3 linked regions of the Coturnix japonica genome follow. The protein of the gene in region 3 purifies or fractionates together with the protein of the main gene of each other region. This does not show direct contact. Links are inferred from orthologs where the notes say so. Each region holds a gene or a part of one and is shown on either strand. Other genes may lie near its edges.

Region 1 (3,652 bases), on a different chromosome or scaffold from region 3:
TTATGATAGGAGAGCACATCAGAAGCACATAAAAAGAAGTTAAGTCAAAAGTGACAAGTTTTAAGTATATAAAGAGGCCTGGTTGCAAATAAATCAGCTTCCATCTGCTGACAGGCACTGAATTGTAGTACCACCATTAATAGTGGAAGGTGCATCAACTACAATGAAATGTTGCTACATTTCTTGTAAGATACTTGAGTAAAATGTTGTACCCTTTTAATTTCAGTCCAGTATTGATCAGGGAAATATCATAGCTATTCTGTAAGATTATCAATCACAGAATAATTATATTACAGAAAATTATTCCAACAGAACTCCTTCCTTGCTACTTCTGGTTATCAAGAATATAATAAAATTGATACCTCATTAGCACTTGCTACTAATTTCTTCAAGCCCCAACCGTCTGCTGCCCAACGATCAGCGACTTCTTTTTCTGAGCATATTATGAAGTTATCAAAGTAGATATCAGATGTCATAGACCAGAGTTCTAAACCAATAGCACTGATAGGTGTCATCTCAAATGGGTGAGGATCTTCAAAATAGTCTGGGTTAGGTATTTTCCGAGGACTCCAGATTCCCTTTTATGGGGAAAGAAAAACATGTAATAATATTATCTATACCACAAAAATAAACATAAAAAAACCCACTCACAACAAAACAGGAAAATACATTTTAATGCAATTAAGACTTTCTGATTATTTCAACTACATGATTTAAAAAGCAAAGGGTAAGCCTCTGAACTTCAGGAAAACAGACCTGGAAACAACCTATGGAATTTTGGCAGATAGGTCTCAGATTTTTGGCTTAGGACAGACAGATTTCTCTTAAATTCAAACCTTTTTCCTCCATATTGGGTTATAGTAGTAAGTGACCATATCAGGTTCAGTATGAAGGGCCAGACATATGTACTAATTTTACTTTTCTGCTTGGTTGAGCTCCACATCTCTTAAATAATAACCTACAATATTGCTAGTACCTGATAATTAGGATTAACTATCATAGGTGCTTTCCATTTTCCTTTATACTTGGGGTTGTTCTTCATGGGACGCACCCACAGTCCACAACCAGGTGCAGTTGCACACTTTGGATTGGGGACCTGAGGAGCTTCCCACTCCCCATCCATTTCTTCATCCCTACAGAAAGAAAGGTACAAATAACCAATTGCAGGTTGGTCTGATCAGAACACTAACATTCAGTATAACTTGGGATCCGTATGTATTTTGCTGTAACAACCTCAGAATTTGGCTAAAGTTCAGTGGGCTGATCTAACTGCAATGTACATTTTCCAGAGGACTGAATGCTTTAAGGCCACACATTCGTAACTACTAGAGCATGGTTAAATGCAATCATACTCCTACGTCTGCAGGCAGCTTGCATCATTTCCATATAACATGCTTTAGGACTACTACATGACTTCAAGCATCAGCTTCAACTGCTTTGCTGCTTATCCCCATGGTAGGTTCTTTCAAATAGCTCCTTACTGTTTACAGCTCTTCAGAATACAAGGCAATTATTGACACTTGCATATTTTTCTAAAGGTAGCCTCACAAATCAACAAATATTCAGCCACACTTGTTATGTTCCAACTTAATATGGCAGAGACAGTGGGACTGGGATAAATTCTAATTTACTCAATGTGCCAGAGAACAAGCTTAGCTACAAAGCACATTAACAGATCCACGTGTATTAAATTCTTACCAGTCCTTCGGCTTTTTTGCATTGGGGTCCGGAACATACTGTGGTTCATAATCAAGCCATCCTTCGGGCTTAACAGCATCAAGATCTTCTATTTTAGAAGGCTCATCTTCATCCCTTCAATTACAGACTACTGTTAGGAAATACATCAGCTCGACTCTGAACCAATGTTCTGTTCAGAGGACTGTAACTGGTATGGAGGGGATAATATTCAAGGGCACAACATAGTTAGATGTGCCTATAATGAGAATTAGGTACCTACTTCTCCGTTTATAAACATTTAAACTATAGATTTCAAGGCACTTGTTAGCCCAGAAATAGCTGTCATGGACTGGCAGGTGCGTCAATCAGGTCTCTCCTTAAAATGTTTCCTTTGTTTAAGCTGCTATATGAACAGTACTTCAGGAAGAAGGAAGTATATGTACAACATCTGACCTAGCAGTGGCAACCCTGCCCACAGCAGGGGTGTTGGAACTAGATGGTCTTTCCATCCCTTCCAACCCAATCCACTCTATGACTCTACTAGTAGTGGAAAAACACTCTTCCTAATCCTTCAACTACGGTGATCTTAGTTACAAATTGCATCAACAGAAAGTTCAAATCAGGAAAAGTCAAGATTTTACTTCTTTCCTTAAAAGATGATCAGATCCTCACACTCCCACTTCAGTTACATTTTTTCAACTGTTAGTATTTGTAAAACATATCCCAACTGTTGAGAGCAAGAAAAACAACAAAATAAAGCCAAGCAAATATTATAAAGCAATAACCTGCATACAAAATGTTTTCTACAGATGAAGCTTTCTCCTTACCAGTCATCTGGTTTGACAGCGTTGGGATCAGGTATTTTTTGTCTCTCATCCCAGTCCTCAGGCTTCTTATCAGCAGGATCATCTATTTCTTTGGGAGGGTTTATTGGAGGAATCATATCCTCCAGAAGACTTCCCTTACTGATGACTGATTGGTCGATCAGCATTTCAAACGTATCATCTGGTTTCAGCACTACATTGAAGGAATTTACATTAAAGATCAATTAATCTTTAATTAATTAATTAATTAAATTAGAAGAGATTTTAAAAAATTAGTTTAAACTTGTAAAAACTAAACAATACCAAGAGTGTATAGGTGTGTCTTCTTGTCCAGATAGAACTTCTTTAGGTCCACATCGGGACGTTTTGCATGTTTTTCATCATATTCTCCAGTTTTAGGATTCTTATGCCTGATGATAAAGTGTAGTTTGTAATCTTCACCACATTTATCTGGTCCAAACATAATAGTATAAGGCGTTTTGTCAAAAAAGAATTCCTGTAGAAGTAAAAAAGTTAAGCATGTGTCAAACTGTACATTTTATCAAGTCATTTGGAGTACTGCATTTCCAAGCTATTGTGGCATATATACAACACAGTTACATTTTTCTAAGAGGTGTTTGACGTGGCCTCTATTCTAACACTGAAAACTGGCAGGGTAAATCATGAAAAGAATTTAACAGATGTTATGAGTTGCTGAAACAGCCTAACTACAGAGATCACTGAAGCCTCCTCAGACAAGATGAATGGGCTTACTAAGTCCTTACCCTTACACTAAGTTGAAATGCCTGCCACAAATCAAAACAGCCACACATACTCTTCTGTACATGTTACACTAAAAGATGGAAGAGAAACAGTTTCTGTTCTTCACAGCCATTTATATTTCAATAAAAATGAAAAACAAGGTATTATTACCCAGCATTTTAGCACTGCTTTCTTGCTCCACAGTAAATAATAATAAGCAATTCTTAAAATAACAGCTTGTTTTCTTCAGAGCATCCTGCATTCAGCTGGTCCAAAATTTCAGTTGTTGTTTTCTTTTTTTTTCCTTTAACTATATAATTTATCTACTTGGAATGCACAGTACCAAGCTATGTTTTTAAGCAACCGCTTGAAGGAAGACCACTTGATTTCTGCAAGTTATCTTCCTGTGA
Region 2 (3,652 bases), on a different chromosome or scaffold from region 3:
GTTCTGGTTCGTGCTGTTCATTTGCGTTGTTTTGATCCTCATCCTCACCTTCATCCCGGTGCTGGTTGTCATGTTCATAAGCTGACAAATTTTTGATATTATTGTACTACTGCAGTTTCTAGGTAGCCCTTTTAAGTGTCATATAGTAGCTTCCATATGTGCTCTTAGCAGTAGGCAGCTTCTCCCTGAAGAGCTTACCAAACAGGTAATGCCAACAGAGCTGTTTTACTTATAGAAGGAAACTAACACTAAAAGATCATTAAATTTGAAGACATCAAAGAAAATCATAAGGCAAAGCCATAAATGTAACAGAGACTTAAAGTCCAGTTCAAGGAGCTTAATCAAAAGGACACCTTTCAGAAATATGGATATGATCTTTATAGTGAAACCCGTATTTCAGTCAGTTCTGACAGTGTTACTTGAGCTTGGGGTTTTAAACTGCTTCTTTTTTCTTTGTTTATACTTCATTTGAATCTGAACTGAATGTAAAATAACATGAAAACCTTATGGAAGGGAGTTCAGAGGGAACCTTACCTCCTTCTTCTTCCTGAATACCTTGCTCTTCTTCCCCTTGTACAATATCATGGTCCATGTTATCATAACGAGCCTGCTGACTGAGAAAAGTAAATGCAAATTCATTACTTCAGCTTCAAAAAGCATTTTAGCTTCAAGAAACAAACCACCATACTGCACCTCTGTCTCTCCTAACTCCTGCCAGAACATTTGACACTCTAGCTTTATATTAGCTGCTACTTTTTAGAATCACCTTTCCTGAAAGACAATGCCCATTATAAGATGAGCACTCCCTATACTAACCTGTGTGCTCTCATTTCTCCAGATTTCAGAGGCTTTCATGGTAAAAGGGGAACCCAACCAACCCCCACTCTGAATAACAGCCATTATATTTATCCATAGAAAGGGGGATATAAAGCTAACTTCATTTAATTTCTGGACAGCCCAGACTTGTATTAGATTTGCCTCTTTTCAGTGATGGTGTGAGGGATGTCATAATGCCCAGAGCACATACCATGCAATGCCCAGTCCATTACAAACATACATAAAAGATTTTAACCTCAGTCGGTTCTTATAGAATTTTTCTCCTTGCTCTGCCTCTCTCTGTAGCTGAAGCTCTTTTTCTTGAAGCTGTTGCTGCCGTAATAGCTGCGTTTGAAGTCTTTGCTGGTGCAGCGATTCCTGATGTTCCCTGAGCTGATTGGCTTCCTCTGCTCTTTGGGCTGCAAGCTGTTGCTGCTCCAGCTGCTGTTCGTAGGCTGGTTTATATCTTTTTGTGACAGCTTTTGTTGGTGTTACCTGCCAAAGAAATGTTTTAGTCACAGGTTAAAATCCCATTATTCAGTGATCAGAAGCAGATGTGAAGAAACTTCTGACACCAAAAATAAGTGGGAAAATTATACAGATCCTATATGCAACGGAGAAAATTGTAACAAAGTTATTTCATTATTTGTTGTCTTTGTTTAAATTCAAAGCAATTTTTTTTAACAAACTTTGAGAGTTTTAGGGGTGTTTGTGGAGAACATGGTGAAGAAGATAAGAAACTGCAGGAAATTTTTCCTACTCATTAATATAAAAGGAATCAGTAAAATCTGTATTCCATTAGAGATCTGATCTAGAACATAAATCCAGCACTCAGTGGTTTTATATAGAGCTGCACAGAACAAGACTTGCCACTGCTCCACACTGATTTCCCCTGATTTAATTGTGTTCACCTTGCAGTTTGAATTCCCTCTTAAATGGCAGTGAACACTGAGTTGGAAATGCTCTTATAGAAGGAAGGTATATCTGAAAAGGAAAGGCTGTAATTTGCTAAGATTGATCAAATTAATATGGCAGAACACCTCCTCATCAAAGTGCTGATCACAATTCCCTTCCAGCTCAGGCTATTCTACAATTCACGCTCATAAACTGTCTACTTTCCATTACCTACCACAGGCTTCAAATTTAAAAGAGAACACAGGATTCATCATGATTTTCTTCCACCTGTTGCTCTTTATCAGCAGAATTAATGTTAATTAAGCTGCATTTGGCAAGCACAGCAGTAAGCATGTGCTGATCCTAAGCGTGTAAGTGCTTTGAATCCCAAATTTTCTATAAATGCTACACTAAATTTACCTGGGAACAGGCAAGTGAAGTACCAGGGCCAGAAAAGATGAGCAATGCCTCCATTTAAACAGTGAATTAATCAACCAGTAGGTAAGAAAAGCGCTCCATACCTCTGATGGAAGACTTTCACCCAGTATGTTGGTTTCTTCTTCTTTCTGTTCCTGTTTCTTCCACTCATGCTCTTCTGGTGCTTGGTCCTGTTCCTCTTCTAAGTGCTGAGGCTGACCTGCCTGCTCCATTTCTTCTTCTTCAAGTTCTTTTTTGCGTTCCTCTTCAGCCTGATCAACACGTTGATCGTCATCCTCTCCAGCTTCTTGTTGCTCCTGAATATTTAGTTCTTTGGCATGCTGGCCCTCGTTAGCCCTTCTTTGTAGATGAAAAGACTCAGCTCTGTCATCTCTCTCCTGGGTATTTATTTCTTCTCTCTCTTTTGGCTTCTCACTCTGGAAAACATTATACAAGTACAAGATATTAGGGATTTCATCTTTTCAGGAGAGCTAAGCACCAGATACAGATACCTGTATTTCCACCTGCAGTAGTGAAACTGTAGTCAGGAGAGCCAACTGGCTGCCTTAGCACATGCTGCCCTTCCTGCCAGAAGGTATCAGTACCTGATTCTTGGCTCTGCATACCTAAGCAAGTTGTTACACAATACAACAGCATCATCAAGTAGTCCTGTATGCATGTTTCCAATGGAAGTTAAGCACATAGCTAGTATTTTACTGAACAGAAACCATTTCCTACAGCTCATATAGGAAGTCTGCGCTTTATACCTCTTCATGCTCTCCAGCTCTGTGGTGTTGTGGGAGGTCACTGTGAGGAGATGGCGCCTGCACCTCTGGTTCTTTGTTTGGTTCCGACTTCTCAGATTGGCGGAAACTTGGTATTTTGTTCAGTGTGTCCTTCAGCTGTTTGTATTCCTCCACCTGGGACTGAAGTCAACACATTAATTACACCATGTCCAAATCAACTTCTTAATAAAACGTAGCGATGCCAGAGTGAGCTTGCTGGCAAGACATATGCTAGAAAGACTCAATATTCACATCACAGCAACTACTAGCAAGTAGCAGGGATGAGACCTTTTAAGAATGGTCATTTCCATGCGCTAAACAGCATTGATTCATCATAATCTTTTCAGCCAAAGTGCACGTGCATGAGAAGATTGTTGGAAAAATCCCCATAGGACAAAGGTGAAGATTTGTTTTTTTCATGCCAAGCAGGAGAACTGTCACAAGGAGATGATGCATTTTCCTTGGCAGATTAAAGCAAAGGGAAACAGAGCACCCCAGCTTCTTTACTGGTAGAAAGCAGCACAGTTCTTTTAGTACATATACACATCATGAAAATGCCAAATCCTCAACATTTAGACAGGTGTTACAAAAGACAACAGACAAGATACAGAACTGAGGCAAGGAGAAGTTACAGAACACCTTCTGTGAAAGGAAAAAGGAAAAAAAAAAGACCAAATATAAATTTCTTAACTCTTCCTAAACTGTAACAGTCGGATGTATTCTGATTTGCAGTTTAATGC
Region 3 (3,652 bases):
ATTTTCCAGCAGATTACATATTGCTTGGTTTGTTTTTTCCTCCTAGTTTGTTTTTTCTTTCTCTTTTTTTTTTTTATTATTATTTAAATCTCCCCAGACCCTTCTCTCCCCAGCACAGAACAGGTTTGCATGTAATAACAGTAACATTCATAGATTGGCGTAAGAGGAGGAAAGTGGAAGGAAATTACATGTTTTCTCCCCTCCCATAATATCTGAGTGCTTTCAAATGACTAGGTTCCAAGAACATACAGCAGCTTTTCAAGGAGCACTAATGATTATAGCCAGCCCTGGTTTGTCCAATACATGAAAAAGGGGGAGGAAAGAAAAAAAAGCTCCTGCACTTGAAACAACTGAACATTAAACAGTAATTTCACTGGGAAATTTCAATCACTAGAACTGTGGGACACCGAGAAGCTGGGAAATCAGCACGGCCGTGTGCATTGCAGCAGAGCTGTGCAGAATTCTGCACTCTGTTACAAGAGCTGCAGCCCAATGGGATGGAAAGGGCACCATGTAAGTGGTGACCCTCAGGGATGATGTGCCTTCCCTACAAGGGCAGGGATGGCCCTTCCTGCAGCCTCTGCATGGCCCTGGGAGCTGCCAGCTTGCAGAGAAATTGCTCATCTTCAGGCTGTGTCCATGCTCACCAATGCATCTCCATTGGAGATGGAGGAAGTGGTCAGTAGGACCTAAGCAAGGAGCCCCCCAGCACCAGCAGAAGATGCTGGGTGACCTACTGCAAGGCTGGCAGAGTTGCTTCAGCTCATCTTGCTTTTCAACTGCTGGTTAAATAGAGAGCAGCCAAAAACTCAAGTGAGACTCAGCCAGAAAAAGCAGGAACACCTCCTGTGCTGATACCTAAGGACCTGGGGAGCTCAGAGAGCTGTGATCTCCAGCTCCCTCCTTCCAGATCATTGTAGCTCCACATCATCCTATTGCACAAGAGTCCTGTACACCACCTTGCCACATCCTGGGGTCCTCATCCATCCTACCACGTATCCTCCTCAAAACACAGCACACAACGCTCTCACCTCGTACTCCTGCTTGAAGCCATAGCCTTCTGCTGTCTTCATCTGGTTGATGTGCTGGAGGAGGTCAGCCACACGTACGGCAGGGTGCAGCTGCCCAGTGTGATATGGGGACCCTTTGCGACCACATTGGCGGCGGGGGGACCCCCCCAGCAGGCTGCTGGACTCATTGACCACACTGCTGCGCTGGTCACCTGCAAACCAGGAGGGATAAGGAGATAATCAGGGTCTGAGGCACTACTCCCACATCAGCCCCACTCACCCACAGAGCAAGGACAAGGAAGGTCTGTTGGGGCTGCCCCACCACTGGTCTCTCTCAGAGTGACAAAGGTGGTCCAGACCCCACCATACTCTCTGCAGCTGTTCCTGCAACCCAAAGCCCACAAGGGCCATTACAGCCTCTTAGGACCACAGCACAACTCTTAGAAACCAGTAGGCAAGATCTTAAGAGGGCTCGCTGCTTATTTCTCATTGATTCAAGCGCTTACCTCCCATCCAGACCAGTACGAGCCACATGCATAAATATTCACTTAAAGTCCTGACTCAAAGAACTGCCTTGCCAAAGTCCCCAGCCCAGCCTAATGGTTAATTTTCCTCACTGCTGGATACCATCCTCTTACTTCTAGCACTGACACAAATGGGACTTGCTGTGGGTTAATGCATGAGCTTACGCAGTGTTTTACCCAGCTTATGTCAGCGCCATATAATTACTGGCACAGCTCACCTATGTTCACCCCACAGGGCTGCTGCACGGCCAGCATACATGATCCTGAAATTTGGGTTTGCACGAGAACTGATGTTCCTCACTGCTACCAAGGAGGTGGCTGCTGCAGATCTCACAGTGCCAGCAAGCAGCTCTGCTGTGTCAGTGCAGCCCTGGATGTGGTTTCCCTAACAACACTTATAAAGCCACCTATGCTGGCTTGCTCAGAGCTGCCAGGCCTTTTTTTGGGGGCGAGGGGGGTCTGCTCTAATGCAAGGATCAGCCTCTCACTTGTGCTGGCAGCTCTGGCTCCTCATGCAGCCCATACAGAGCCTTTCTCCAACAAGTTTAATAGGAAAAGAACTGCGGGTGTTGCAGTGTGCCAGCAGGTCCATGCAGGCTGGGATCTGCACGGTCACCCACACTGAGGACCCTTTATGAGAAGTGTTCCTGGCTTTGTTTAAATGCAAGAAAACTGAGGCAAGGACCAGCAGAGGGACAGGGAGCAGCAGAGCAGGACAACAACCCCAGCCCAGGTGGGAGCAAGATTCAGTTCTACAGCCCCACTCCCATAAGAAACACAGCATGGCTGGCTATTCTAGCTCCAAGATGGAGAAAAATCTCAGTACAAACCAGCCTGGCTATGAGTGTTTCGAGGAGCCCCAGTAGGACAGTAACTGAAAAATAATACGCTTATACAGATGTATTAAAAGGAGGCAAAGTTTGCCCTCTGGGCTTCTACTGTCTGCGAGACAATGCCAGGAATCATATTAATCCAGCATCGGTGGAGAAGAGCTGTGTGTAAAGCAGCATCTTGGAGTTACTGTAACAGATGTTATTAGCATATGTTTGAAACTGAGGCACTGAACGAGTTATTTTACAACTAAATCAGTGCCGAGTCGCATACTCCAGTGGGTGTTCAGTTATCAGTCTCCCTCTGATAGGAAGGCTGTGGCTCTTTAACCCTACAAACCCCACAGCCGTGCACAGCTGTGGTCAGAGCCAAAGGGCCAAGCGGGGCATACAGCTGCTCTGACACTTAAAGCAATGGCAATGCTGCAGCTCCCCATCCTTACCACGATTGCTGTAGTTGTGGGTGTCCATGAAGGACAGCCCCAGCCTCTCATCCTCCTGCAGGGTGCTCTGGTCCGTGAAGCTCCGGTCGATGGCACTCATCATGTGTGTCTTCTCGTGGCGGTAATTAATTGTTGCTTTGGTCATGTTGACAGGTTTGCTGCAGAGAGATGCAAAAGGACAGCAATGAACCAGCAGCACTGCCAGACCCCAGACCAGCTCCCCAAGGTTTGGTATATTTGGGGCCATAAGAAAGCTTATTCCCCCCGGGCAGGACCAGCCCTGAGCCCACACCACCTGAAGGACCTCACATGAGTGGGGAAAAGACACTGCAAAATGCTGCCAAAACCCTGAACTCAAGTAGAATTGGCCACCTCAGCAGGAGCACAGCCATGCTGGGTATCTGACCCTTTCTGCTTACACTGCCTTCCGTCCTAATGAGCTCAGAAGCATTATTTTCCCAAGCCAAAGAGGCCCTTAAGATGTACTTGACAGAGAAAAGGACTTGTTGGAGTGGAGAGCAGCAGAGCAAGGGGGGCAGGAGGGAAGGAGGAGAGAGAGAATGACAATTACTTACGGGTAATAGGAGTAAGAATAGTAGTTCCTCCTGGCAAGCGTGCAAACAAAGAGAACGGCACAAATTGCACAAGCAGCTTTTCTTTGATGGAGAAAGTGGGGCTCTAGGGCAGCGTGCAGGGAAGGAGAGCACAGAAAGGCAGGCACCCGCACACCACGAGCATCTCAGAAGGGTCCCCATCCTCTCAGCCCACCCACACAAGCCACCCTCCTTCTGCACTGCCTCAAGTCATGGGATGAAAGCTGAGGGCAGCTCCTCCCTGTCTCTGGC

The links.
Region 1: the proteins of PTPRU (region 3) and CLGN purify together in Homo sapiens (affinity purification with mass spectrometry; 3 studies listed by BioGRID and IntAct, with this or other methods). This does not show direct contact. The link is inferred for Coturnix japonica from reciprocal best matches to the Homo sapiens genes PTPRU and CLGN.
Region 2: the proteins of PTPRU (region 3) and GOLIM4 purify together in Homo sapiens (affinity purification with mass spectrometry; 3 studies listed by BioGRID and IntAct, counting the BioPlex papers as one, with this or other methods). This does not show direct contact. The link is inferred for Coturnix japonica from reciprocal best matches to the Homo sapiens genes PTPRU and GOLIM4.

What each region holds. Positions count from the first base shown.
Region 1 is NC_029519.1:26,014,837-26,018,488, forward strand, and holds part of CLGN (calmegin), read right to left. Parts: intron 2,998-3,652; coding exon 2,805-2,997; intron 2,695-2,804; coding exon 2,505-2,694; intron 1,813-2,504; coding exon 1,699-1,812; intron 1,134-1,698; coding exon 977-1,133; intron 579-976; coding exon 363-578; intron 1-362. UniProt on the Homo sapiens protein: Functions during spermatogenesis as a chaperone for a range of client proteins that are important for sperm adhesion onto the egg zona pellucida and for subsequent penetration of the zona pellucida.
Region 2 is NC_029524.1:18,193,395-18,197,046, reverse strand, and holds part of GOLIM4 (Golgi integral membrane protein 4), read right to left. Parts: intron 3,054-3,652; coding exon 2,895-3,053; intron 2,565-2,894; coding exon 2,232-2,564; intron 1,312-2,231; coding exon 1,028-1,311; intron 615-1,027; coding exon 535-614; intron 82-534; coding exon 1-81. UniProt on the Homo sapiens protein: Plays a role in endosome to Golgi protein trafficking; mediates protein transport along the late endosome-bypass pathway from the early endosome to the Golgi.
Region 3 is NC_029538.1:2,489,850-2,493,501, reverse strand, and holds part of PTPRU (receptor-type tyrosine-protein phosphatase U), read right to left. Parts: intron 3,413-3,652; coding exon 3,383-3,412; intron 2,966-3,382; coding exon 2,808-2,965; intron 1,223-2,807; coding exon 1,032-1,222; intron 1-1,031.